Linked DNA regions of Sus scrofa. The protein of the gene in region 3 interacts with the protein of the main gene of each other region in a pairwise test. Links are inferred from orthologs where the notes say so. Each region holds a gene or a part of one and is shown on either strand. Other genes may lie near its edges.

Evidence for each region.
Region 1: the proteins of SSX2IP (region 3) and TFIP11 interact in binary tests that used the Homo sapiens proteins (3 or more experiments, as listed by UniProt). The two-hybrid records come from large-scale screens. The link is inferred for Sus scrofa from reciprocal best matches to the Homo sapiens genes SSX2IP and TFIP11.
Region 2: the proteins of SSX2IP (region 3) and CARD9 interact in binary tests that used the Homo sapiens proteins (3 or more experiments, as listed by UniProt). The two-hybrid records come from large-scale screens. The link is inferred for Sus scrofa from reciprocal best matches to the Homo sapiens genes SSX2IP and CARD9.
Region 4: the proteins of SSX2IP (region 3) and CCHCR1 interact in binary tests that used the Homo sapiens proteins (3 or more experiments, as listed by UniProt). The link is inferred for Sus scrofa from reciprocal best matches to the Homo sapiens genes SSX2IP and CCHCR1.
Region 5: the proteins of SSX2IP (region 3) and CCNH interact in binary tests that used the Homo sapiens proteins (3 or more experiments, as listed by UniProt). The link is inferred for Sus scrofa from reciprocal best matches to the Homo sapiens genes SSX2IP and CCNH.
Region 6: the proteins of SSX2IP (region 3) and ZGPAT interact in binary tests that used the Homo sapiens proteins (3 or more experiments, as listed by UniProt). The two-hybrid records come from large-scale screens. The link is inferred for Sus scrofa from reciprocal best matches to the Homo sapiens genes SSX2IP and ZGPAT.
Region 7: the proteins of SSX2IP (region 3) and C2H19orf66 interact in binary tests that used the Homo sapiens proteins (3 or more experiments, as listed by UniProt). The two-hybrid records come from large-scale screens. The link is inferred for Sus scrofa from reciprocal best matches to the Homo sapiens genes SSX2IP and SHFL.

The regions. Positions count from the first base shown.
Region 1 is NC_010456.5:44,106,161-44,109,876, forward strand, and holds part of TFIP11 (tuftelin-interacting protein 11), read right to left. Parts: intron 390-3,716; coding exon 236-389; intron 1-235. UniProt on the Homo sapiens protein: Involved in pre-mRNA splicing, specifically in spliceosome disassembly during late-stage splicing events. Intron turnover seems to proceed through reactions in two lariat-intron associated complexes termed Intron Large (IL) and Intron Small (IS).
Region 2 is NW_018084833.1:1,342,158-1,346,343, reverse strand, and holds the start of CARD9 (caspase recruitment domain-containing protein 9), read right to left. Parts: upstream 2,912-4,186; 5' UTR 2,362-2,911; coding exon 2,018-2,361; intron 1,704-2,017; coding exon 1,504-1,703; intron 1,222-1,503; coding exon 1,084-1,221; intron 532-1,083; coding exon 227-531; intron 149-226; coding exon 1-148. UniProt on the Homo sapiens protein: Adapter protein that plays a key role in innate immune response against fungi by forming signaling complexes downstream of C-type lectin receptors.
Region 3 is NC_010448.4:129,047,838-129,052,181, reverse strand, and holds the start of SSX2IP (afadin- and alpha-actinin-binding protein), read right to left. Parts: upstream 2,997-4,344; 5' UTR 2,976-2,996; intron 1-2,975. UniProt on the Homo sapiens protein: Belongs to an adhesion system, which plays a role in the organization of homotypic, interneuronal and heterotypic cell-cell adherens junctions (AJs).
Region 4 is NC_010449.5:23,543,297-23,545,858, forward strand, and holds the end of CCHCR1 (coiled-coil alpha-helical rod protein 1), read right to left. Parts: intron 1,854-2,562; coding exon 1,702-1,853; intron 1,594-1,701; coding exon 1,422-1,593; intron 946-1,421; coding exon 833-945; 3' UTR 623-832; downstream 1-622. UniProt on the Homo sapiens protein: May be a regulator of keratinocyte proliferation or differentiation.
Region 5 is NC_010444.4:94,994,447-94,998,162, forward strand, and holds part of CCNH (cyclin-H), read right to left. Parts: intron 2,431-3,716; coding exon 2,319-2,430; exon of another isoform or gene 1-2,318. UniProt on the Homo sapiens protein: Regulates CDK7, the catalytic subunit of the CDK-activating kinase (CAK) enzymatic complex. CAK activates the cyclin-associated kinases CDK1, CDK2, CDK4 and CDK6 by threonine phosphorylation.
Region 6 is NC_010459.5:62,639,421-62,643,791, forward strand, and holds the start of ZGPAT (zinc finger CCCH-type with G patch domain-containing protein), read left to right. Parts: upstream 1-1,567; 5' UTR 1,568-1,663; intron 1,664-1,879; coding exon of another isoform or gene 1,880-1,962; intron 1,963-2,132; coding exon of another isoform or gene 2,133-2,220; exon of another isoform or gene 2,221-2,307; intron 2,308-2,474; coding exon of another isoform or gene 2,475-2,567; exon of another isoform or gene 2,568-2,606; intron 2,607-2,663; exon of another isoform or gene 2,664-2,885; intron 2,886-2,919; exon of another isoform or gene 2,920-3,065; intron 3,066-3,146; exon of another isoform or gene 3,147-3,285; intron 3,286-3,571; 5' UTR 3,572-3,658; coding exon 3,659-4,242; intron 4,243-4,371. Other genes in the region: ARFRP1 (ADP-ribosylation factor-related protein 1), read right to left, coding at 1,880-1,962, 2,133-2,220, 2,475-2,567. UniProt on the Homo sapiens protein: Transcription repressor that specifically binds the 5'-GGAG[GA]A[GA]A-3' consensus sequence. Represses transcription by recruiting the chromatin multiprotein complex NuRD to target promoters.
Region 7 is NC_010444.4:68,940,776-68,945,196, forward strand, and holds the start of C2H19orf66 (UPF0515 protein C19orf66 homolog), read left to right. Parts: upstream 1-1,470; 5' UTR 1,471-1,777; coding exon 1,778-1,798; intron 1,799-2,269; coding exon 2,270-2,393; intron 2,394-2,588; coding exon 2,589-2,638; intron 2,639-4,253; coding exon 4,254-4,292; intron 4,293-4,421.

The DNA.
Region 1 (3,716 bases), on a different chromosome or scaffold from region 3:
CTGGCAGTCACAGAGCATTATGAAAAATATCTCACCAATCAAACCTACCTCTGATGCATCTTAGGGAATAGAAGAGACTGCACTGCACACATCACCCCTCAGGGAGATGCACTACCACAGGGAGACCCACACAATGCCGCCGCCCCCCGCCCCCGCCAATTGTGAGCAGATGCTTGCACCACAAAGATGCTCCAGGGATATTACTAAAGTCACAACACGTCAATAAGGAGGCTACCGTTTTTAACTTCTTTGGTCCAAAATCCTTAGGAAATTCATCCTGCTTAACAGGTTTCTCTTCATCATCAGAATCTTCCAGCTCCGCCTCCTCTGCTGCCCCTTTCTTGAGCCCAGCACTGATGAAGTTGACTGGTGCCGAGTAGTCACGAGCCCTGCAGGTAAAAACACAAGGCCCCACAGCCCATAGGGTCATTAAGAACTCTCCTGAAACCATCCCATGTAGAAACCTTGCTGGCCAGAGAGTTCCTTAGAGTTGACCTTGTGGGATCCATTTTATTTTTTATTTTTTGTTTTTGAGGGCTGTACCTGTGGGATATGGAAGTTCCCAGGCGAGAGGGTTCAACTGGAGCTGTATCTGTAGGCCTACTCAACAACCACAGCAACGCCGGATCTGAGCCACATCTTCGACCTACACCACAGCTCATGGCAGTGCCAGATCCTTAACCCACTAAGTGGGCCAGGGATCGAACCCTCGTCCTTATGGATACTAGTCATGTTCACTACCAGTGAATCACAACAGGAGCTCTTCCTTTTACGTTTTTAAAATTAACTTACTTTAAAAAGCATTTACACCAAAACCAGAAAAAAGAGAAAATTACAGGTCAATATCTTTCATGAATATAGATACGGAAATTCTCAAGAAAATATCAGCAAGCCAAATCCAACAAGACATCAAAAAAAAAATCACACATTATAACCAAATGGGATTCACCCCAAGTTTACAAGGATGGTTCGCCGTGCACAAATCAATGTGATACACCACATCGACAACAAAAAAGACAATAACCACATGATCATCTCAATAGGTGCAGAAAAAGCATTTGACAAAATTCAACATCCATTCAAGTTGGATCATCCATTCAACTCTTACCAAATCAAGTATAGAGGGAACACATCTCAACACAGTAAAAGCCATCCATGACAAACCCACAGCCAGAATGATACTCAATGGCGAAAAGCTGAAAGCCTTTCCACTAAAATCTGGAACAAGACAAGGATGTCCACGCTCACCAATTTTATTTAACATAGTATTGGAAGGCCTAGCCACAGCAATCAGACAGACAAAAGAAATAAAAAGTATCCAAAAAAAAAAGAGGTAAAATTGTCACTCTATGCAGATGACATGATAGTATATATAGAAAACCTTAAGGATGCCACACAAAAATTACTCAAACTGATCAACAAATTCAGCAAAAATTCAAGGATACAAGATTAACGTTCAAAAATCAGTTGCACTTCTGTATACTAAGGATTAAGTATTAGAAAAGGAATATAAAAATACAACATTTTTAAATGGCACTCAAAAAAAATTAAATACCTAGGAATAAACCTGACTAAGGAGGTGGAAGACTTATATGCTAAGAACTATAAAACATTAATCATGGAGGAGTTTCCATTTTGGCACAGGGGAAACAAATCCAACTAGGAACAATGAGGTTGCAGGTTTGATCCCTGGCCTCACTAAGTGGGTTAAGGATCTGGTCTTGCCATGAGCTGTGGTGTGGGTCAACAGATGCGGATCTGATGTTGCTGTGATTTGACCCCTAGCCTGGAAACTTCCATAGGCCACAAGTGTGGCCCTAAAAAGCATAAAAAAAAAAAAAAGAAATTAACTACAGAAATTCAAAGAAATGGAAAGATATTTCATGCTCCTGGATTGGAAGAATTAATATCATTAAAATGGCCACATTACCCAAAGCAATCTACAGGTTCAATGCAATCCCTATCAAATTATCCATGACATTTTTCACAGAACTAGAACAAACAATCCAAAAATGTATATGGAACCATAAAAGACCCAGAATTGCCAAAGAAATCCTGAAGAACAAAAACCAAGCAGGAGGCATAACTTTCCCAGACTTCAGACAATACTACAAAGCTACAGTAATCAACACAGTATGGTACTGGTACAAAAACAGACATACAGATCAATGGAACAGAATACAGAACCCAGAAATAAACCTGGACATGTGGTCAATTAACCTTTGACAAAGGAGGCAAGACTATAAAATGGGAAAAAGACAGTCTCTTCAGGAAGTGGTGCTGGGAAAAATGGACAGTAAATCAATGAAACTAGAACACATCCTCATACCATACACAAAAATAAACTCAAAATAGCTTAAAGACTTAAACATAAGACACCATCAAACTCCTAGAAGAGAACATGGCAAAACATTCTCTGACATCAATGGTACAAATGTTTTCCTAAGTCAGTCTCCAAAGATAACAGAAATAAAAACAAAAATAAACCAATGGGACCTAATCAAGCTGACAAGCTTTTGCACACCAAAGGAAACCATAAAAAAAGCAAAAAGACAAACTACAGAATGGTAGGAAATGGTTTCAAATGATGCAACGCTTAATTTCCAAAATACACACAACTCATACAACTCAACAGCAAAAAAAAAAAAAAAAAAAAAAAAGCTCATCAATAATTATTCAATAAATGCAAATCAAAACTACAATGTGGTACAACTGCACACTTGTCAGAATGGCATCACAAATGCTGGAGAGGGTGTGGAGAAAAGGGAACCCTCCTACACTGTTGGTGGGAATGTAAACTGGTCCCACCACAATGGAAAACAGTATGGAGGTACAGCAGAAAACTAAATATAGAACTACCAGATGATCTAGCAATCCCACTCCTGGGCATATATCCAGACAAAGATTTCAAGGAAAATTATACACGCACTCCTATGTTCATTGCAGTACTAGTCACAATAGTCAAGACATAGAAACAACCTAAATGTCCTGCAACAGGGGAATGGATTAAGAAGATGTGGTACATATGCACAATGGAATACCACTCAGTGATAAAAAAGAACAAAATAACGCCATTTGCAGCAACGTGGATAGAACTAGAGACTCTCATACTAATTGTATCAAATGAAGCAGGTCAGAAAGAGACAAATACCATATGATTTCACTTATATCTGGAATCTAACATGTGGCACAAATGAACCTATCTACAGAAAAGAAACAAATTCATGGAAAAGACTTGTGGTTGCCAAGGGGGTGGAGTGAGAGGCTGGGGTTAGCAAATGCAGCTATTATACGTGGAGAGGATAAACAAGGTCCTGTACAGCACAGAGAACCATATTCAGTGTCCTATGATAAACCAATTAACACAACACTGTAAATCAAATATACTTCAATTAAAAAAACAAAATTTTCTTCTGGCCATGCCTGTAGCATGTGAATGTTCCCAGGCCTGTGATCAAACCCATGCCAGAGCAGCAACCCAAGGCACTACAGTGACAATGCCAGATCCTCAGCCTGCTGTGCCTCAAGGGAACTCAAAATTTTTTTTTTCTTTTAAAAATAAACACAAGGAGTTCCCACTGTAAGCACAATGGGATCACTGTTGTCTCTGGAGCACTGCAATGCAGGTTTGATCCCTAGCCCAGCATAGGGGGTTAAGGGCCCAGCATGGCTGCAGCAACAACATAGGTTACAAGTGTAGCTCCAATCTGATCCCT
Region 2 (4,186 bases), on a different chromosome or scaffold from region 3:
CCTGCAGCAGCGCCTTCTCCTGCTGCAGCTCCCACAGCAGCTCCTGGCTGGGCCGCTGCTCCATGGCGTGCCGGAGCTTCAGCGTGTGCTTGCGCTCCACCGAGCAGTCGTCCTCGGCCTTCATGAGGCTGTGCTTGAGCCGATCGATCTGCGGGGCCGCCCGTCAGCCCAGCCCGGGGGCCCGCCGCCCGCCCGCCGCCCGCCCGGCCGCCCCGCCGCCAGGCACCTCCAGCTGCAGGTCTCGGTTGCGCATGAGCGCGGTGCCCCTCTCCTCGCTCTGACGGGCCAGGCGCAGGGCCAGGTCGTAGTTCTCGTCCTTGCAGCGCTGGAGCTCGCGGCCGCCGGCCTCGCAGGCCTCCTTGAGCCTCTGCGCGCGCTCCTGGTGCTTGCGCAGCAGGCCGTCCTTCACGCGCAGCTCCTTGATGAGGTCGTCCTTGGAGCCCAGCAGCGCCGTCAGGTCCTGCGCCTTCTTCTGCAGCTTCATCACCTCGCTCATCAGCAGCTGCGTCAGGCCGGACTCCCCAGACGCGTCTGCGGACCGGGCCTCATCAGACGGCGCGCCCAGCAGCCCAGCATCTCGCGCGGCTCCAGGACCGGCGGCCCGGGGAGCCCGGCCCAGGGGTCTGGTCCTGACTCACCTGCAGGCCCCGTCCCCAGCCCCTCCCAGGACGGTGCAGCCAGGGGCTCACGTGTCCCTCCCTCTTTGTCCACTTTGGTCATCTTGATTGAGAGGCGAGGGGACACGACTCAGGACCAGGAGAGCGGCACCTCTCCGGCTGCCGCGGCCTCTCGGGAGCAGGGTTTTAGTGGGGTCAGGTGGTCTTCTGGGCAGGGGGGCTCTGAGCCAAGAATCAGCCTGTGCCTCCCCTCCCCCTGCTCCCGCCCTGGAGTTCAGGTCCCCCTTCCCTCCGGCCCCTGCCCCCTCCCCGGGCTGCAGCAGGAGAGCGGGCGGGCGGGCCCCAGGCGGGCGGTATCCTTCCGCCAGAGCGCATGCACGCTTTATCCGTTAGGGGCCCAGGTCAGGGGGGCGCCCCGGCCCCTGAGTCCGGGCCCTGGGTCCCCAGGCCCGGTGCCCTTCCTCACCAATGATGACGGAGAAGACGCGGGTGGGCTCCTTGCCCGTGACCTTCTTGTAGAGCTGCGGGTAGTAGAGCTCCAGGCTCTCGAGGAAGGCCACGTAGCCCTTGTGGCCGGTGCGTTGCAGGATGTCCAGGAGCACGCCTGCAACCCAGATGGGCCTGGCTGGGGGCCGGGGCGGCCGGCGTCCCCAGGCACGCGTGTGGCCCCTCGAGGCCCCGCGGGGTGGCCGCAGAGTGGGTCTGGGCCAGTCCCCATCGGCCACCCACCTCGTGTGGCTCTCCCAGGGGCCTCTGCTGTGCATGGCGGCGCCCCGGCCGCAGGCAGACAGGTTGGTGATGGGGGGGGCGGGGCGGGGGCCGAGCCGGCCAGGCCTCCCGGGGACAGGGACGAGCGTGGGCAGAGCCCGCCGCCCACGGCACTGACCCACTTTCCGCTTGCGGATGACCAGGCTGGGGTCACTGAGCACCTGCTCCTCGTCGTCGGGGCTCAGGACCTTGCACTGGCGCAGGTAGGGCGTGATGCGGGCGGGGTCGATGACGGAGATGAGCTTCACGCGGAAGCCCTCCAGGCCGCTCCAGCACTCGTCCTCGTTCTCGTAGTCGGACATGGTGCGGGCGGGCGCACTGCTCCGAGAGAGGGCCCGTCAACTGGCCCGCCGCCCTGCCCTGCCCTGCCCCCGCCCTCTGGCCGCTCTGGGCTTCCTCTCCCCCGCCCCCGTCACCCTGGGCCCCTGCCCCACGCTACCCCCCCAGCCTGTGCCCAGGGAGAATCCCCCTCCCCGAGCATTGTGGGCGGGCAGGGAGGCTGCCTCCCTCCCTGGAGGTGAGGGGGCAGCAGGAGCTGTTTGGGCCGAGCGCTGGCACAACCTCCCCGGCAGATGAGGGAGGGGTCCCGGTCCACCCCCGGCCAGCCCGCGCCCGGCTGGGGCGCCCCCCACCTGCGGGCGGCAGGCCATGCCACGCGGGACTTCCTCATTCCCCCGCACATCCACTCCCATCCCTTCCTCTGCTTCCTGTGGCTGGTGATGCAACAGTTGCCCAGCTGGCCCGCTCCGGTCAGGCCCAGGGACGTGGTGCCCTCCAGGAAGCGTGACTGAGAGCAGCCCACCGGAGGGCCCTGGGCACATGGGGAGGGCCCAGCTGTGTCGCCCAGGCAGCCCAGGACGCGGCTGCGCGCCTCCTCCAGGCTCTGGGTGCTGGGCACTAGCTGGCCCCGGGCTCTCCCCATCTCCTCGGCCACAGTGCTGAGCACGGGGATGCTGGCTCCCTGACAGGGGACCATCTACGTGGAAGCTGCTCTCTGCTAGCCCTTCCAGCAGCGGGTGGGCAGGGACCACGCTCTGGGGCGGGCTGAGCAGGAGCAGCCATGTGGCCATGCCTCCTCCTGGGGGAGAGGGGTCGGGGGGCACAGAGACCCCGCCTCAACACCTGGGACTGAGCCTGTAACCTGCCTGGGAAACACCGGCTCCCGGGCCACGGGGGCTGGGGCACGGTCCCAGAGGCCGTGGTATCCCAGAGGCCGTGGCTGTGGGTCCCACCGCCCTCGGCCCGCCCGCCTAGCGACAGGCGCGGCGTCCAGAGGAATCACCAGCACCTTGGTGGCCGGTCTCTGGACCTGGCCTGTTGCGGCCTTTCTAGCCTCAAGTCCACAGCACCCACGCCTGACGATGACCTGCTGTGCATTCCACCGAAGCGACCGTGCCAGGTGGCTGCGAGGGGGACGGGGCAGCAGAGGTGAGGCCGTTTGGTGCCCTTCTGGGGTGTTCACGCCAGATCCCTCTCCCTGTCCCAAGAGTCCTGAGCCACCTGGGCTTGCCGCCGCCTTTCCGAAAGGGCACCAGACCAGCCTACCTTGGGGTCCTCCTGAGGCACCTGTGCAGTGGCCGGTCGCCGGCCAGCCTGGGCCGCCAAGCCGGTGTGTGAGCGGTGGGAGCTGCCGCGGCTGCCGGCCAGGGAGGGTGGGGCGGGAGGGAGCGCACTTCCTGGCGTTAACCCCGCAGGGACCATCCCTGCGGCCGCTGCTGATTCGCCCGAGCAGGGCGGCCTGGGGGGCGGGGGAGGGAAGTGGAAGTGGCTCCCCAGGAAGGCTGCCCAGAGCCCTGCCAGCCAGCGCAGGGCTGGCCGCGGGGCCCAGGGCCCGCCCTGGAGGCCCAGCCCTGACCCTGAGGAGTGGGGAGTGCGAGCCAAGGCTTGACAGAGCTCGAGCCCCTGCTGGCCCACTTTGGTCCCAGGAGGGGGCGGTGTGGTGTCCCAAAACAGGGCCCCGGGCACAGGCGCCCCGCAGCACACTGGCCTGCTGTGGCTGGCACGGCCCCGCCCCTCCTGGGACCACCCCTTCTCCACCAGGACACATGACAGTGACAGCAGCCCCCCACCCCAGCACTTCAGAAGGGCTGCAGAAGGCCGGGCAAAGCCTGGAGCCCAGCCCTGGCTGCCAGCTGCACCCTGGCCAGGTTGGGGAATCCCCAGGCCACCGCGCTGCCCGGGGAGCTTTGCCAGTTGAACCGAGCTGCCAGCTTCAGCTCCGCGAAGGGGCTGCGGCTGGACGGGCTGGATGGGAGCCTGGCCGGTGCTCCCGGCTCCCCCTTCCTGAGGAGCTTCCCTCCCGCCTGGCCAGCTCCCTTCCTGTGGGGTCTCACGCCTCAGGCCGTGTGGGGGCTTCTCTGCCTTCTGCCCAGGATGGTCAGCGGGCCACTTCGCAGAAACCTTGGGCGTCCCGGCACAGACCTGGCACTGCTGGGTTGCGTGGTGGCCTGGCCTTCCGGGGAGCTGACATCACCCTCTGGGCATGGGGAGCCCCCTGCGGGAGCCGCGAAAGCCAGGTGGGGACTTGGTGCAGGAGACTGAGCCACCGCCTCCTACATGCCCAGCAGGCAGGCTGGTACCGGGCCCTCAACGACCCAGTTCCCGTGGCTTAGAGCTCAGGCAGACGTCGTGTGCTCTGGGCGAGGCAGCAGCCACAGAGACGTCGGGACCCTCACTCAGCATTTGGAAATTGAACAAGAAAACTTAGCCCACAGGTCAGAGGAGGTCGCGAGAAAAACTGGACTCGGTTAACTGAGTCCCGGGTGCAAAGGGACCCCCCGCCCCTGCCAGGGGGCGTCAGC
Region 3 (4,344 bases):
CATATCATTTTTCTGCTTTGGTCCCTCTCACTCAGTGTTAAAGAAAAAATTCTTTCCATAACTACACGTTTCTTATGACCTGCCCTCCATCTCAGTACCTCTCTGAACTCACACCCTACAATTCTCTCACTTATTCAGCCATTGCCAGCTCACTGTTCCTCATTCTTCCCAGTCACTTTCCTGCCTCAGGACCTTTGCACTATTCCCTCTGCTTGAATGTTCTTTCCCTTAACATCTGTATTACTTATCTCTCCCCTTCCACATCTAACCAAAGTCACCTTCTTTGTGAGGACCAACCTCACAAATATTATTTAAAATTGGAAAAACACCCCTCCAGCTTTCTAAATCTTTCTTACTTTGCTCTTATAATAATCTTCAACCATAATACTTACTTACTTACTTTGTTAATTTTCTTTTTTGGCCTATTTCCCTTGCCTAGAGTGTCAGCCAAGCAGGGAGAGAGGGAGAGAGCATTTTTCTGATTGTTCACTGATATATATATCTCCAGTGTCTAAAAGAGTGCTTGGTGCTTAGTGATTAGTGGCAGATAATTCTTGGTAAATAAATGAATGTGACTTCTAATGGATGTTTTATATTTCAAATAAATCACCTTGGCAGCCTATATACATGTTCCCATAATGCTGCTCAAAAGTATCACATCGGTAGACACTGACTTTTTGAAAAGAATGCTTTCCTTGAGAAGAAGTTATTCAGAGCCAAATCTGATGAACACATTCTGGAGTTGTGTTAAAATGCCAAACCTGTGTTTTCCAACTAAGTTACTGCATTTGAGTGGATAGGGAAAGGTCAAAAAACAAGATGTGTTTGATGTCTAAGACAGTAAACTGACTGTGAACATAATTTCAAAGAAGAATTCTAAAAATATGCACCAGTAACAAGTCGCAGGAAAAGCACACGTGTATTTTAAAACTCTATATGCTTCTGTGTATGTGTGAATGAATCCCTTCCAAACTTTCTGCAGACTTCCATTCTTGCCTCTATTAGATCAGTCTTTCAAAAATGAAACTCAGACCCTCTCAGCCCCCTCTCCCAATTAAGAATCTTTCATGCCTCTCATTGTGTTTAGCATGAAACTGAACTTCCTATCCACTCATGCATGCATGACCTGGCGCCTATAGCCCTCTTAAAACTCTCACTTTTGTACACAAGTGCCAGCCATGGCAGCTCCCTTTTTTCTCCTTTGGTTCTTTGAACGTGCTATTCAGTCTGCCTGGAAGGCTCTGATTCTTTTTCATCATTCAGATCCCATGTCTATAGGTAAAGCAGCCTTTCCAGGTCTGGTTTTATTGGTTTAATCGTTTGCTTGCTGCTCGTCTGTCTCCTCCCACCAGAATGTAAGCCCCATGAAGGTAGGGACTTTGCTGGTCATGTTTGCCTCTGTAGTCCCAGCCCCTCTGTGCCTGCACTACAGGGTTGCTAACCAAACTGTTAATGGTAAGATAGCTTAATATTCTATTAACTTCTGTAATACATTAATTTTTACAAGTTTATATTTTTTAAAATATTTTTATTTTAAGCTCTGATGTTAATATATGTAATAAGTTAATAATCCAACAACCTTTTTTATTAGGGCCTATATGCTGTAGCAGATAAGATGGACTGAATCGCTGCTACTTAATGGCCTCACTTTCATTAACTCTCTGATGTGGCCAGGACTGTCTCTCCAGGGGTGGCAGGGAGGATAAACAAAATCTTGCTGGAATCTGTACTGGGAATTTTTTATTTTTTATTTATTTATTTTTTTGTCTTTTTGCCTTTTCTCGAGCCGCTCCCGGGCATATGGAGGTTCCCAGGCTAGGGGTCCAGTTGGAGCTGTAGCCACCAGCCTACACCAGAGCCACAGCAACGTGGGATCCAAGCCGCGTCTGTGACCTACATCACAGCTCACGGCAACGCCGGATCCTTAACCCGCTGAGCAAGACCAGGGATCGAACCCGGAACCTCATGGTTCCTAGTCGGATTCGTTAACCACTGCACCACAACGGAACTCCCTGTACTGGGAACTTTCATACCTATGGCCTCATTTTATCCACAAGATCAATTTAACCCTGTTCATAATTAACGGCAAAATAGTACAGGACCGATTCCAAGGACAGCAAAACTTCAGAGACGTTGCTGTGGGCTGGAGTGGTCAGGGATCACTCTGCGGAGGAGAGGGACCTGGATAGGGCCTAGGGGCCATTTTCACTCTGCAAGCCTGCCCGTAGGCAGAGGCCAGATCGCTAGCTCTTTCCTGGTCTGAAAGGAGGTCTTACATTTAGCTGGGCTTGGCTCTTCTAGCTAGCTGAGTGAATCTCTGCATCTTGCTGCATGTCCAAAGACAATTCATTTCTAGCCAGTCCCTTTGGATTTGGGTCAGTAGTAGTTCAGCTTGAAATAACAGTTCTGTGCCATTTATAAAGTGCTGGCTGAGTTTGCAGAAAAAGCAGACCACCTCGACCCAAGTAAAGATTCTCAGAAAAGGAAACCATTCCTCATCATTACCTGCCCTGCCACCCTGCCCTACCTGACCTGCCATGCCGCAACACCGTACACAAACACACAGAACAGCAGACAAAATGCCTGATCATTTTCTAGGTGTTCCACTCTTAGTGCTTTAGATTTTTGTCTGGTCTGCTGCGTGTTTTGCCCTACCTTTTGGGAAAGGTTTTGTTGTTGTTGTTTTGTTTTTGTTTGTCTTGGTTTGTTTTTTTTGAGACGCATGATTTTTACCAGACTCTAGCGCTTTGGTTTCCAACTCTCCATTTGTCCCAAGATTCATTAATTTTAAAATATGTCATGTAAAACTTGATTGTGTGGAAATCACTCCAACAGTTAATAAGGTGCTATCATAGAAACGTGATCACGTACCCAACCAAGGTAGTTCTCAAACCCTGTATTTCCAAGATAAAAGCATACCTCCTTTAAGAAATGCAATGAACACACATTTAAGACACACACACACAGAAACTTACCTTGCTGACTACAGTGGCCTCTAAACCCTTCTCACCCAGCAATTAGACTCAGTCTGCTCTTCTAAGCTTGCAAATTTAAACTCTGAGCATTGAGTAGACAACAAAAGTCCCTCCCAGGAAGTATGGGGACTATAAATGACCCAAACTGTTTTTTTAGTTATACTGAAATAAATTTAAAAACCACGGAGCACAAAGATCCAGCATTCACTTGAATAGTTCTGATATAATTCTGCACCAAAACACGCATTTATTTCACACAGTCTTAGTTTCCCTGCTGTTATTTGAAAATTTCCTCAACAGTTTAATGCATATTTATTGAATGATTTAAGACCCTGCTCACAACAGAAACTCAGAGTTTCCCAGGAAAACAGAATAGTGACAGTCTGACATTGTTGTGAAGAGGTACAGTGCACTAGTGCCCTTGAGTCCCATGGCCTGGGCTGAAATGCCAGATCAGCTACCTGGGTCCATGTAACGTCCCTAAGCTCCCAAGCCCACTTGGGGCTTTCTTCCCCTGGGCATTCTGTTTAGTAAACAATAAAGCTTCAGGGTTTAGGTTGTTTGATGATCCCAACCAAAAACATCCTGGGAGCACATTGAAAAAAGAGCTCTCATGAAGTGACCTAAGGGTGTGATATTTCATTTTATTGGTACAAATATACTCACGTGGCACATGTGGAAACAGTCTGGTGAGCAAAAAAGTCAGTGAAAAATGAAGTATAGGAGATTTTTACAAAGGACTGATTGAATGGAATAATTAAATGGAAGCAAGGAAAATGTGGGACCGTGTCTATGCTTTGAATTATAAATATGCATCTCAGATATTAATGGTTTTCTAAATTATATTTTCCTTCTTTACCAATTTAGGCCAGAAAAATTAAGATACATTGATGAAGACAGTTTTGCACAAAATGACTTACTGTTTTGAAATTTTCAGGCCCTAGCACTATGTCTTCTGGCTAGTACTTGCTTTATATTATAGATATATTCCAGCAAAAGTCATGTCTAAATAATGTATTTAGCAATCAAATCATAATCTAAATGTACTAGTGAAACTAGATGTTTAAAATTATGATAAATCTATGTCCATGGTGAATGACACCTTTGTAAAACAATCTCCTATCATCATCTCCGTTCTATAAGATTATATTTTAATATGTTGGATTTTCTTTAAAAGAGTTTTACCTGTCATTACTTAAAACCCAGACTTTTATGTGAAGAGTTTTTGGGAATATACATTTCAGTACAGAAGGCTGAAGTGTTGCAATAAAAAAAATAGTTCTTATCTTTTTATTCTGCAACTGGCAATTCAATTTTACCCTAGTTATACATTTCCATTTATTTCATTATTTATATTTCACACTAGGCA
Region 4 (2,562 bases), on a different chromosome or scaffold from region 3:
GACTTTCTATGGCCTTAGAGTAAAATCCAAGCTCCACTAGGTCCTGGCCTCTCCCTGCAGCATCCTCCCTCCACACGGGCCGCGCTTGTGCTTCTCCCAAGTGGAGGCACAGCCTGGTCCTCGCCTGACCCCGGCCTCAGCACATCGGGCCTGAGAGGCCTCGCCTGTCCCTTCATCTGATGCTGCCCCTCCCCACAGAGCCAGGCTCTTATCTCGTCACTGTGATCTTTTTCTTCTCTTCATAGCACTTATTGTTTGAAATGTTGATTTGTTCTTGTGGAAACTTGGTTGAGTCTGTCTCTTCCATGGGAGTGTAAGCACCACAGGAGCAGAAACAGGTCCGTCAACACGGTGGCTTCCTGGCAGGATGCCACCTGGCTGTGCGACACCAGCTGAACCAGTGAAGGTTTATATCTGCCTCACTCCCGGCACTGACCATCTTCCAGACAATTCCAAGCTCTTTAAAGCGCTTTAAAACACAAGTTGGGAATTAAAAAAAAAAAATCTGGAGCTTCTCAAAACAAACTTTGAGCAGCCCGGGAAAGGGATTTTGGAAAAGGAGCCATGTCGTGAAAGAGCCTGTGGGAGGGACCACTTCTCACATTGCCTAGACAAGAGAGGCTGCAGAGAGAAAATTCCCTTTATTCCTAAAGAGAACTGTCCAAACAAAGGCTCCTGCTGTAGGCATCATCTTTAGTGAGTCACGGGAGAAATCACAGACATCTTGGTGCCTGTTGTCCTGACGGTGGCCAGATGGGGAAGGGGCTGGGCGGGACCCCCCCACTCTGGGGCCCACTTCTCCACCATCCTCATCCTTGGTCATCGCAGCTGCTCAGAGGCAGACTGAAGTAGAAGAGGTCTGGTTCTCTCCTTCACAAAGAGCCTCCTCTTTGGAAATGGCCTCACTCAGGCCCTGCAGGTCATCCAGCAGGTCGGAGAGGGATCCTAAGAAAGAAAACCCTGGAGTTCCCAGTGTGGCGCAGCGGACACACATCTGACTAGTATTCAGAAGGGTGCAGGTTTGATCCCTGGCCCTGCTCAGTGGGTTAAGGATCCCGTGTTGCTGTGAGCTGGGGTTTAGGCTGCAGTTGTGGCTCAGATCAGGTGTGGCCGTGGCCGTGGTGTAGGCTGGCAGCTGTAGCTCCAATTCAACCCCTAGCCTGGGAACCTCCATATGCTGCAGGTGCGGGCCTAAAAAAGGAAAAAAAAAAAAAAGTAGACCCAGAGGGACAGGAGGCTGTTAGGTCAAGATGCAGAGGAACAGGGCAGCCTCGGGATGTAAGGGTGATGAAGGAGAAGGCTCCTGGTTCAAGGCGGGCGTGGCTAAGAGGCTGTGGGCCTCCAGGGGTCAAGAGAACAAGGTTCATGCACACCAGAGTGCCTGGAGGAGAGGGTCCTGAAGTCCCCGCCCCATCCCTTACCTCTGATGGACTCCTTGGTGCAGCGGGCCACTGCCAGAGGCGCAGGCGCTGAAGACTCAGGGTTCCCTGGGCCAGACTCCACAGGTTTCCCCTTATCCAACAGGGAAGGAAGAACTGCCAACAGTCGTTGCTGCTTGTAACGGGAGAGGAGACCCTCCTGCTGCAAGGTGGCCTGGGAAGGAGAGGATTAAATGCCACCGAGCCGGGGCAGAGCACCGCCCCCCCAACAGCTCTGCTCCCCAGCCAGCCCAGGCAGGGGCCCCGTCTAGCTGCCTCCTACCAACATGAGGTTCTTGTCCCTCTCCAGCTCCTTCAGGCGCTGGGTCAGCCGCTGCCCCTCCTCCTTTCGGGCCTCCTCCTGCAGGCGCCGGAGCTCCTGGTTCCGCTCCTTCTCCCGGGTGGCTTTGCGCTGCATCTGGCGCAGGGAGACCACTATGGGAAAGCCAGGCCACAGGGGGAACGGGTGTGGGCCAGCCTAGAGGCCGCAAGGCACCAAGAAAACAAGCCTGGAGGGATGGGCAGGAACACTGGGTCCCCAGCTCTGTGACTCAGAGGAGCCACAGACGCTTGTGGCCTTGGGCTCTTCCGTACAGAGGGAGGGTGGCCCATGCTCTAGGATCCCATGAATCTGTGAACCCTAAGTACCTTCCCCATCCCCGAACCTTCCCAGAGTCCCTTAGGGGAAATCAGAACAGGGACCGGATACCAGATTGTGTGCAATGCATGTTCACTTTCTTAAAGGGTGACAATGGCACTGAGGTTATAATATAGGGAAATAGCCTAGTTGTGGGAGATGCTGCTGAAAGGTCATGTTTACAACTTCCTTTCAATCTTCCCCCCGAAAATGTATCTATCAATGTGTGTATGTATATACAGACAGAGAGGAAATGTGATCAAAGGTTATTAACTGCTGCTTCTAACCAGACGTGGTATATGAGTCCATTACATGAGTCTTTTTTTGTCCTTTGAGGGGCCACACCCACAGTATTTGGAGATTCCCAGGCTAGGGGCTGAATCAGAGCTGTAGCTGCCAGCCACAGCCACAGCCACAGCCACGGGGGATCCGAGCCGAGTCTGTGACCTACACCACAGCTCACGGCAATGCTGGATCCTTAACCCACTGAGCAAGGCCAGGGATCAA
Region 5 (3,716 bases), on a different chromosome or scaffold from region 3:
CTTTGAACAAAAATTAGTGAGATTTCTACCTCAAACCAATCACATACAATTCTAAATAGTTTTAACAGCTAAACAAAAGGCAAAATACAGAGTAAGACAAGGTGTTCAGGTGTACGAGCATAAAGCAAAAGACAAGCTGCCTATGTCACAAAGTAAAAGAAGCAACAAAAGAAAGTAGGTCTATGATAAATATAAAAAGAGGAGTATATAAAAAGAACCATAAGAAAACAAGACAAGAAAGTTGGGCAGAGGTTATAATTATGCAATACAGAAGAAACAGGATTATTTGACATGGAAATATCAGTATCAGAATAATAAGAGAAATGCAAATTAAAATACCGATGTGATGATTATTTCTTCACCCAGACTGGCAGAAGTTAAATACTGATACTATTAAATGTTGTACAATGTGTATGAAAACAATGAAAAGGGAAAAAACCCTTTTCTAAATACATAATAGTGAAAAGCTTGGCAAAGATAACAACTATAAGTTACCTCTCGGGATGAAACTGGGATTTGGGTTTTGGTTAAAGAGAACTCTGGTTTACCTGTATTAAATTGGCTTTAATAATGACACTATATTACTTGTGTATTAAAAAAGATAAAAGAATTTTAAAGACCAAGAAAAAATATTTTATCCTAAAGTAGTGCTTGTAAGTGTGATTTATGGACCATTTCCAGCGTGCAATGAGATAAGTATAGAAATTGAGTGTGTGTTTAGAAATTTTTATAGGAATTTGATAGATTTATTTATGACTACTGAATCTAATAAAATTAAGCTTATTGAATCTAATAAAATTTAAGCTTATTTTTTTGTCATTTTCTTTTTTCGAGTAATTATTTGTTAATATTTTATGTAAGTGTAGGTCTGTAATGGGTTAAAAAGAAAATTAACAGTCCTTTACAGTTTGAGAATCGCCCTTTAAGTACTCATAGATATGCAGGGTTTGCTTAACACAGTACACTTGAAAGAAAGATGTAAACTCTGGCCAATTAGGAACTTTGGATTATGGTCCATTCAGTCACCTAGCTAGAAGAGTAAGATCAATAGTTGAGTGGTCTAATTCAGAGGTGGACAAATTTTTCTTCAAAAGGCCATATAGTGAGTATTTTAATTCTTGTACGGGCATGTAGTTTCTGTCACAACTACACAATTCTTCTGCTATAGTCTGAAAACAGCAATACACAGTATGCTAGATGGATCTATGTTCCAATAAAACTATTTCTAAAAACAGGTTGTGGCCCAGATTTGGCCCTTGGGCCACAGTGTGCCAACACCTGGTCTAATAAGCCCATTTCAAAATCAATGTGAAAAGATTATAAATCAGTACTGCAATACTTTCATTCATTAAAGTCAACATTTTTCTTTACTTTTGCTGTAACACTGAAACCCAGGAGTGAAATTTACCAATTTTAGGTTCTATTCTAAGCCATGTTTTGCAGTTACAGCTACAAATATAAAATAGTCCCATATTTTACACACATCATAAGTCCTGGGATATTCTCCTACTATAGCTTTATAGTTAGAAGAATTTGAGTTACAAGTACCTGATCTGAAGGCCTTAGAATTCTGGTCTGATGTCTCATATATTATCCAATAACAATATAGTCATCAATTATGGAATCAGAAACATCTCAAATGCATCTCAACTGTAAGATGACAGACCTACCTCCCACTAAGTTTTACAGAATGTGTTCCACAGAAAATATAAAATAATAATTTTACCATTCTTATTACCTACCCAGATCCCCAACTGTTTAAACACCTGAAAGGTGTAAGCAGATCTTCAAGCTGCAGGTGATAAAGAGCTCAAATATAGTGAATTCCACATTCAGCAACAAGTCAATAAGACGTATTACAGTGTTCCTTATGGATGCAACAAGAAATCTAACAGCACATTTTCCTATTGATTCTGTCTTCAATATAAAGTTTACCACTGAGAGAAAATATGCCAAATTTCCATACCCTAGCTAATAGAAATAAATCTGGAACAGTGTACTTGTTCTCCAGAGGAGATAACCAGACCTACAAAAAACCTAGAGATTAAAAGGACAAGAAGAGGTTCATGAATTCCCTAGGAAGACTCTGCCTCATGGGATCCCACAAGCCAAAGAACACGTTAATCACAGCAGGAGCAGAATTGACTATAAAAAGCCAAATTCTTTTATTATCTCGTGTTTAATCCTGTTGAAAAAAAATCTGATTTAATAGGTAAGTCAGTTTTACCCATATGAGCATTCACCAATTAAATGACATTTTAAGCTAAACACAATAATAGTTATATCTGTTCTAGGATAACAGTGTCCCATCTACTTACGTAATTACGTTAAGTGCAAGCTCAGGAGAGTGACATCTCTCCAACTTCTGTTTCAGAACAGCAACTTCTTCAGATCTGGGTGGTTCATATTTTTTTACCAAGTTTCTCATGCCTATATGTATATAAAAGAAAGGATCCACATCAGATAATGAAAAGTATGGTTCTCATAAAGGGGATGAATAATATTTTCCCATCTAGTTTTGGGAACAACAAAGAACACTCCTGAAATGTGGTTATTATTATCAGGATTATTATTTCACATTAGAATTCAATGAACACCATACTCAAGTTACTATAGCTTCTGCTGCTTAGCCCGCGTCGTGTACAGCATAACGATAAGCAGGCTTTGCTAGTCAGTATTTTTTCCAAATCCTACCATGGTCACTTTACTCAGTTTTAAGGCTTTTAAAAAATCCCTATATGATTTAGTAAACAATCTTTGTTCTCTACCACCAACTATATTCATAACATTCTGTCCTACAGATGGAGGGCCTCATGTACAAGGAAAACATTATTATGTAATATGCAATGAAGGAAAAATGCTTATAAATACCCGTCAATGATGCTTTGCTTTAACACAATGCGGAACCTATACAATGAAGCATCACCAAGAAAACAAAAATACCCTCCTTATGCTAAAAGCAAACTACTACAGTGACTAAGCACACAAGGATTCTCCACCTGGGCCCTTTATATTATTCAACTACCACAAAACAAAGAATATAAATCTCATGATTTTTATAAGGAATGATGAGAGAAACAGGGCTAATTAGCCAGCCATGTGCTCCAAATGAGTGACTTATTTCATAAAGCAAATAAAGCAGTGTTTGCATCAAAACCCTTGGGACAGTATCTTGTGTGTGAAAAATTATGAATAAGATAATACCATTCCAGCTCTGAGTTTCAGCAAGAGCTATTCTTATTTTACATTTAAACAAATGGAGTAAAATGAAGGTAAGTGTCAGCTATAAAATCAGCACAGTGGGTTACCTTTAAGACCTCTTGTACTTACTAAATTCCTGGATCCTAATATCTATGGCCAAATCACAATTAGTTTTGGAAGTGAACCCTCTAGTGGTATAACTGAAAACCTACAGTTTTCTGACTGATAAATTCATCACTCTCACTTAAAGAGGGAAGACCTCGAGATCATTTCCAACAAAGAATCAAGAAATGATATTTACATGCCCTGAGGCATTTTAACTTTTGAAACATAAAACATAAAAACACTGATTAACTAATGTCATCCAAGATCAAGATCTTCAATGTCATATTTTATTGGCTTACTCAATATTTAAACCAGAAATTTATTCATAAGGACAACTGGCACAAAACATTTTGGAAACAAACATAACTGACTTTTAACCCTGAAGATGTGCATAGTAGCCATGAGCATGC
Region 6 (4,371 bases), on a different chromosome or scaffold from region 3:
GGGGGGTGAATGGCAGCACCCCGGCAGGAAAGACACACAGAGCAGGCGCCGGGCAAGTCTGCCTTCCACCCCAGTGAGATAGGGGCACAGAAACGCCCTGAAGCCTGACTGCTTCTTGGCTGCTCTGTCCCAGCTGGAAAGCCAGGGATCTGGACACCCCCCCCCCGCCCCACAGGCCCCCGTCCAGTGCAAGACAAGCTGCCATGTGGGCAGCAGCACACAGCGTGAGCGGAGGGCAGCAGGTGGGGGTGAAGGTCGCCAGCCATCTGCCAGAGGGGAACAATCGGCCACCCGACATGATGCTGGTGCAGTGGTGCTGGGCAGCGTGGGGACAGGGCAGGCCCCAGGACACTACATCTGGGAGCCAGGGTGGGAGCAGAAGCCCAGCTTTCCACCCTCCCAGAGACTCAGTGGGGGCTGGTGTGTGGTCACCCCGTGGCCCCCCGCTCACCAGCCAAGTGGCAACCCCCCCACTGCCTCCCAGGCATGTCAGGCAGCCCCATCCATGGCCAGGGGCGACCACACCTTGTTGCTGGCAGCAGGCAGGGCACCCACTGCACTCAGAAGTTGGGGAGCATATGAGAAACTCAGGGTCCACCAGAGACGGCAGGCTCGACGATCAGGGCTCAGCCCCTCGTGATGAGGCCACCGGGCCAAAAGAAGTGGACAGAAGGGGGTCACAACCAGCCACCAAGCCAGCTTCTCCTTGGCAGAAGCCACCCCCAAGGCGGAGGAGCGAAAGGAGTGTGCACCTGCCACGGGCTGTGGCTTCACTGCCTGATGGCGGGCACTGCACCCAGTGCGTGGCCCGTGTTACCTCCTGCAGGACCCACTCTGATGCACCTTACCCTGTCACAGCTGCCCAGGGTGGCCCACTGTGGGGACCTGCCAAGGGAATGGAGTCCTGGCCAGCGTGGCCTGACGTGGGGCAGCTGCCCGAGACGCCCCTGCCGTGCCCAGTCCCGAGTCCCCAGCGCCCCCTGGTGCTGATCCCCAGGATATCCTGCACCCCAATCCCCAAGGTAGCCTCTGCTCCGGAGACTCCAGCCTGTGACGGAACTTCAGGACCAGTTTTGCTCCCATGTGGGTCGAGGACTTGAACAAACAGCCCCTGGCTTGACTCTGCCTTTGTCCCACTTAAATGGCCTCAGAGGACCTGTCAGTGACGTTCTGACCACGAGACAGAAACCGCCCACTTGGATGGAAGGCAGGCTAGGGAGGACACCTTTGGGGGACGAGGAAAAAGTGACTGGGCACCTGCTGCGAGCGTCAAACCAGAAATCAGGTCCTGAGCACCCGGCCACCAGCCAGTGTTGGGATGGGCGCGTCTGCGCCCCAGCACTGGGCTGCGCCACACCCTGGGTGGGCGTCCCCTGGGCGGGGCTGAGGGAAGAGGCCCATTCTGTCCTCTCTGCTGGACCCACTGACTTGGCCTTGGGCTGTGTGGGGAGGAGAGCCCCATGTGGAGGTCGGAGGAAGGACTCAGACCTCCATCAAAAGCGGAGGTGGCTGCTGTGGGCCTTGGAGGACACGTCCCCTGCGGGAGCACAGGTCCTGAGCCGGAACACATGGCAACTCAGGCCCCGGCGCTGAGGCCGAGCACCACACTGGCGCTGTGTCTTCCCCACGTCTGCCCCTCGGCCATCCTCTGTTTCGTCCTGTGGTGAGTAGCCATAACATCGCTAAGCCTGGAACCCAGCATGTCCCTGTTCTTGGGACAGCGCCCTGGGCACTGGGACAGCACAGGGCGGCTCAGGAGCCAAGCTGCTGACCGCAAGGAGAGAAGGTGAGCCCAGGAAAGGCAGGGAGAGACCAAGGTGGCCCGGGAGGGACGGTGCGAGAGGCAGGCCGGGAGCCTGTGTGGCCACCCCCCTCTTACCTTGTCCCACAAAGACTGCAGCTCTTCCTGCCCCCCTAGGTCCCAGAACATGAGGCGAGCCTTGCCCACGTCCACTGTGCCGACTGGGCGAGAAGAAAACAGGAGAGGCTGTGGCCTTGGTCCCTGACACCCCACCTCCCAGCCCTCCTGGGGAGGGGCTCTCTGGTGCTCTGCCTGCCTGCAGGCCTGTGGCCATCACAGCACCCTCAGGGGTCTGCCCGCCAAGCCCGCAGCCCTCAAGAAACCCCCTTACTGTTTAGACCCACGGTGGTGGTGATTTTGGACAGACTCATCCCCTTGTAGTTCTTGTTGAAGCGGGTTTTTGACTGCTCCAAGAAGGTCTGCGGGGAGAGGGAGAGAGAGGCAGGAGAGAGGAGCTGGAATGGTTTTCCGGCCTGTTTCTCAAGTTTCCCTCCTTGGGCCTATTCCTTTAAGACAAAGCAAAACAGCACACCGTTTTGCTATCAAGGCAGCCGGTGCCAGCCGTCCCCCGGTCTTAGAGGGGGCTGGGATCTTTGGACAACACGCAGCTAAATGCGTGATACCAAAAGTACCACGTTCGGGGCGGGGGGCGCGGGGCGCTGACGGCACGTACCGTTTTCCCGGCATTGTCCAGACCCAGGATCAGGATGCAGTACTCGTCCTTTTGAAACATGTACTTATACAGGCCGGACAGCAGCGTGTACATCCTGCGCGGAGACCAGCGATCGGTCACCGGCGATCCGACCCGCACCCCGCCTCCCCGAGCGGCAGAAGGGTCTGTCGGCCTGCTGTCCGCTCAGACCTGGAGCCCCGGGCCCTGCCGACCCGCCTCCTCTCTGCCCGGCACTGCCGCCGGCGCCTCCGCAGCTGCTCCCGACCCGGCCGGCGCTGCCGGCACCCTCGCTCCCACGTCCGGCCTCCCTCCGGGCTTCGCTCCGCCCAGGTCTCCTCGACGGCCCTGGGCCAAGACGGCCGCAGGCGCCCCTCAGAGGAGGGCGCGTGGGGGCGGGCGGCGGCCCCGAGTGGCCGTGCGGCTCCGCCCGCCCGCCCCGGCCTACCTGCGCCCGCCCGCCCGCTCGCCCGGGCCGCGAAGCCGGGGAGACGCCGGAGTGGGGGAGCCGCCAGGGCACCGGAGCTGCGGCGCCTGACCCTCCGACCCCGCGCCGACCCCGCGGTGACCCCGCGCGACGCCCGACGGGACGCGGGCCGGCCACTCGGGGAGGGGCGGAACCGTCCCGGCGGCCCCCGCGCCAAGCACTTCCGGCGGTGGCGGCGCGAGGGCGGAAGTGCCTGTCGGCTGCGAGGGCGGAAGCGGGGCGCGGGGCCGCTGGGGCCGCCGAGGCCGCCGGGCCGTCTGTGGCGGCGGCCGGGAGACCGTGCGGAGGAGGGCCCGGCCGGAGCGAGAGGGTCTGGGGCGTGGCGAGGTGACGGGCTGAGCCGGGGCGGGGGTGCGCGGGGCGTGGGCCGGGGCACCCGGCTGAGGCGCGGAGACCTCGGAAGAGCCTACGGCAGCGCCCCGGGGCGCCTGAGAAGGGAGCTGCGGCTGTGGGGCCAAGGCCGAGAGCCGGCTCTGGCTCGCCGGATCGGAGCTGGAAACCTCTCTTGGCCCAGACGGGAGGGGGGCAGCTCACGGTTCCGCGGGCTGTCCGCCCAGGGCCAGCCTCGCAGCGGTGGCCCGTCCCAGGCTCATTTGGCTTCTCTTCCCCGCAGCTGTGGCCCCCACGCCTCCCCTGGGAGGACCCAGAACACCCACCCCAACCCCGCGGCCTGGCCGAACAACCAGCCCCTCCTGGCAGGATGGACGAGGAGAGCCTGCAGGCCGCCCTCCGGACTTATGACGCGCAGTTGCGGCAGGTGGAACTGGCCCTGGGCGCCGGCCTGGATCCCTCGGAGCTGGCGGACCTGCGCCAGCTGCAGGGGGACCTGAAGGAGCTGATCGAGCTCACAGAGGCCAGCCTGGTGTCCGTCAGGAAGAGCAAGCTGCTGGCCACGCTGGACGGAGAGCACCCAGCCCCGGAAGATGCGGAGTACGTGGCTTTCCAGAAGGCCATCGCCGAGGTGGTGGAGGTGCCAGCAGCGCCCCGGGCCGAATTGGAGACTGTTCCTAAGGACGAGGCAGGGCCAGACCCCTCGGAGCCTGGAGAGGAGGAAGAGGGGGAGGACGAGGAAGACGCGGCCGAGCTGAGTGGGAGGAAGGTGAACGCCCCCTACTACAGCCCGTGGGGCACCCTGGAGTATCACAACGCCATGATCGTGGGCACAGAGCAGGCGGAGGACGGCGCCCCGGGCGTGAGAGTGCTCTATCTGTATCCCACTCACAAGTCCCTGAAGCCCTGCCCCTTCTTCCTGGAGGGGAAGTGCCGTTTCCAGGAGAACTGCAGGTAAAGCCTTGCCTCCCCCTGCGGCCTCTGGGGTTGCGGCCTCTGGGGTGGGGGGCTTGCGCTCAGGGTTGGGGTTGGCCCGCTGTGTTTTGGAGTTTTGTCCTTCGTCGCCCAGCAGGGTGCTGAGAA
Region 7 (4,421 bases), on a different chromosome or scaffold from region 3:
TTTTTTTTTTTTAATAATATTTATTTATTTATTTATTTATTTTTGCCTTTGTCTTTTTGTCTTTTGTCGTTGTTGTTGTTGTTGCTATTTCTTGGGCCGCGCCCGAGGCATATGGAGGTTCCCAGGCTAGGGGTTGAATCGGAACTGTAGCCACCGGCCTACGCCAGAGGCACAGCAACGCGGGATCCGAGCCGCGTCTGCAACCTACACCACAGCTCACGGCAACGCCGGATCATTAACCCACTGAGCAAGGGCAGGGACCGAACCCGCAACCTCATGGTTCCTAGTCGGATTCGTTAACCACTGCGCCACGACGGGAACTCCCGGAACATTTCTATTTTTAATGTCCTTTTTTTTTTAGTCTGCTGAGGAATATCTTTATGTACTGAATACATTATTATTAAATAATCTATGGAATCTCTCAGTATAATTGTATTTGTATATAGTTTATACACAAATAGCCACCTGGGGATGGAGCTTGAACATAGGGGTGCTCACTGAAAAATGATTTTTGGAGTCATTTGTCCTAATGCAATTTAGCCCCTCAGAGGGTATTTGGCAGCATCTGGAGACACTTTCAGTTGTCTCAACTGGGGCAAGTGTGCCACTGGCATCTGGTGGGTAGAGGCCAGGGATGCAGCTCAAAACCCTACAATGCACAGGGCAGGTCCCCACCACAAAGAACCATCCAGCCCCAAGTAGAGCTGAGGTTGAGAAGCCCTAGATTAAAGCGCTAGATTCTCTTGATTCTGGGGTCTTTGCAGGACTAGCTCCCTCCTTCCCTACTCCATTCTTCGCTTAGCTGAGACCTCATACTTCAAGGATTCCTCAGAGAAGCCATTTCTGAAGCCTTCAGGCTGGGCCAGAGCCCTTCCTAAGAGCTCCTCTAGCCCCCTCTTCGCCCCCTGCTAGGTTAGAAAAGTTCGGACCCCTGGGGTTCTCAACCTTCCCATTTACAGTGTAAATTCCCTGTAATCCCCTAGACAGCCTAACTCTGGACAACTGCTAGAGACCCCGGGAATTTGTGTTCTTAACAAGCATCTCTTCCTTCCCCCCAGCTGCTTGCCCCTCCTTATCTTACACATAGTAGGTGACCCAGTGACCAGTTAAGTGTCTACAACCTGCCAGGCGCTACTAACTGCTCTACGCAGGGAATCGAATCCTGGCAAACACACACCGCCCCCGCCACCGCCCCGCCGCCAAAATACACCCAGACTGTAGCCACTACCATCATCCCATCTTACAGAGGAGTAAATTGAGGTTCAGAAAGGGGACGTGGCCAGGTAAGAGACTCAGAGCAAGAAAGGGGTCCAGGTGCTGAATACTGCCTGATTCCCGGGGAGGGGAGGGGATGGAACAATGAAATGGGGGGGCGCGAGCTAACGGGGGCGCGGAAACTCGCCGCGGCCTTCCGATGCGGCCCCACCCCCACGAGGGACGTGAAGACGCGGACCCCGCGCAGCGTGGGGACATGTGACCGACTGCAGAGGCCGCGCTGCCTCCCCCGCCCGAGGTCTGCGCGCTCCGCCGCAGGGTGCAGATCGGTGGCGCCCGCCTGGGTTTGGGGCGCAAGAGCAGAGGCGGAGCCAAGGCGGAGCCAGCGCGCCCCGTCCCCCCTTTCCCTATCGAAAGCGAAACGGAGGGCCGGAAAGGAAGGGCGGAGCCCGCCTGGAGGCCCCGCCCCCTGCCCTGCGCGGCGGCAGGACCGACGGGCGCGCCCAGGTAGGGGGTCGCTGAGCGCGCAGTGCGGACCCTCGCTGGGACCTGCGCCGCCACCATGTCTCAGGAAGGTGTGGAGGTAGGAGATGGCTGCCAGTGGGCCGGGGGCCTGCGAGAGATGCTGGGGAGGAGTTCGGGGCGCGAAAGGGGCTTCGCAGTTCCTGGGGACTCCATCTGAAACCCAGACCAATCCTTAGGCTGGCACTCGTTCCCCTCAGAAAGGAGAGTGGCCACCACATGCCCTAGAGCGAAATGCGGCCTCCTCGAGGAAAAGCGGAGGCTGCTGGGTCAAGGGTCAGAGGCCAGGGGTTACCTGGCGGGCCTCCTCTCTTAGCCTAGGACGCTCACCCTGGTCCGCTCCCTCCCCCAGTGCCTTGTAGGGACTTTGGCTTTTTCCAGGAAATGCAGTAGAGGGATTGGGGGGGGGGGGGTGCTGTGCAGAAGCCAAAACCAAGGGTCAAGTTCAGGCCAAGAAAAAGGATGCCTAGGGATGGGGGAAGGGCCATCGCTCCTCTCCTTCCTCCTTCGGAGCCCCCTGTCCCCACCCCAGCTGGAGAAGAGCGTCCGGCGCCTCCGGGAGAAGTTTCATGGGAAGGTATCCCCCAAGAAGGCGGGGACTCTGATGAGGAAATTTGGCAGCGACCACACCGGAGTGGGGCGCTCCATCGTGTACGGTGAGCAGGCCGGATCGAGGGCCTGGTGGGGGTTCTGCAGAGGAGCACTGGAGGGGGGTGTGGTCTGTGTTGGGGGTAGAAAGAAGCGATGAGATCATCTCTTTGGGGAGCGGTCTGTATCAGGGGTTCTGGGGACACTGAAACTCCCACAAGATCTTTCAAGGGCCCTTCACTTACACTTACTCTCCCCACCAGGGGTAAAGCAGAAAGATGGACAGGAACTGAGTAATGACCTGGATGCCCAGGTAAACTGTCCCTCTCCCTCAAAGGATGTGCTAAGGGGAGGGAGAACAGAAGGGTAAGCTCATTCACGCTGAGCCCCCGCTGTGCACTGTCAGTCCACAACTCATGGTACAGCCTCATTCACTTATTCACCTCTCAGTCTTGTATCTGGCTGGCGGGCCTGCAAACAGTAGGTGCTCATTACATGCTGACTGTATTCAGTGGGGGTGAGACAAGAAACTAGCCAGTGAAATGAATCGGGATTAATGTCATTTACAGAGGAGCCACAGAGGTCAGGGAAGGCTTCCTGGAGGAGTTGGAAGGAAGTTGTTCAAGATCAGGGAGGAGTCATCCCTGGGAAGGGGAGGAGTCAGAAAGGGTCTTCCTGGAAGAGGGAGGCTGTGCGAGCAAAGGAACATGCGGACAGGCTGGGATGAGCAGGAGGTGGGGGAGGAGAGAGGGGCAGGGGATCCCAAAGGAATGAATGAATGAATGAATGAAAGGCTTTGAGGCATAGACACAACAGGGCCACTTTGCCCCTTAGATGGCTTTGGTGTCTGGTGCACTGGTTTCACCTGTCTAAAAGGCCCAGCATAGAGTTCTTAAAAAGTGTAATAAAGGATGAATTACACTCTTAACATTCATATATTTACATTTATACATATGATGAGTATGATAAAATAGCAAAGAGTGTCATTGATAAAGCACTTCCCCTGTGGCAGGACTCCAGGACTTTTACCTGTTGACTGATTTCATTGCCACAGGTCCTATGAGACAGGTCCTATTAAGATACTAGCATGTCCATTTTACAGATGAGAAAACTGAGACACAGGGTGATGAAGCCACTTGCCAGGTTCATGCAGAAGGCAGGTGACAGCTGGGATTTGAACCTCCGCCACCTAGAGTCAGAACCTGGGCTCTTAGATGTCCCTCAGTAGTGGGAATGGCTTGGCTACACCCCCACAGCTGGAGGTAATGAGGCCAGGATTTCAACCCCCATCTCCCTAAATCCAGAGCCCAAGCACTTAGCCTAAAGCAGCATGGCCTCAAAGAGGTGACCTGTCACCATGCCAACAAATGTGTGGCATTTGTGAGTAGGACAGGAGCATGGGGTCCAGGCCTGCCCCACCAGGTTCACTCAGGGTAAATTCAGCAAGCCCTCTCCCAGCTCTGGGCCTCAGTTTCCCCATCTGAACAATGGGGGTAATAAATATGCCTACCTCTCAGGGTTGCTCTAAGGACAACTGAAGTCACACATCCTGCCCTGAGGAAATAGATACTTCTCAGTCAATCAACTCCTCCTGAGTTAGGAACACCCTGCTTTTTTTTTTTTTTTTTTTTTTTTTTGCCACTTCACGGCATGTGGAGTTCCCAGGCAAGGGATCAGACCTAAGCCTCAGTTGCAACCTAAGCCGCAGCTGTAGTAATGGAGTATCCTTAAATCGCTGTGCTGGGCCAGGGATCAAACCTGCATCCCAGCACTCCCAGGACACCATTGATCTGGCTGTTCCACAGCAAGAACTCCTAGGGACACCCTACTCTTAATATGGGGCCAGAACCCCCGCTCCCCAGAAGCCCCACCCACAGAAAAGATGCATGAGCCACATCCCCAGTTTCTGCCCTGGTGTCTCCACTTAGGACCCCCCAGAGGATATGAAGCAGGACCGTGACATCCAGGTGAGTCCAGGATGTGGGACGGGAAGGTGAGCAGGGAGGACATCCATGGGGAGGTCCCTAGGTGAGGACGAGGGACGCTGTAGGGGGAGGAAGGGAAAAAGAGGGCTGACAACCCTCCCATCCCCACCT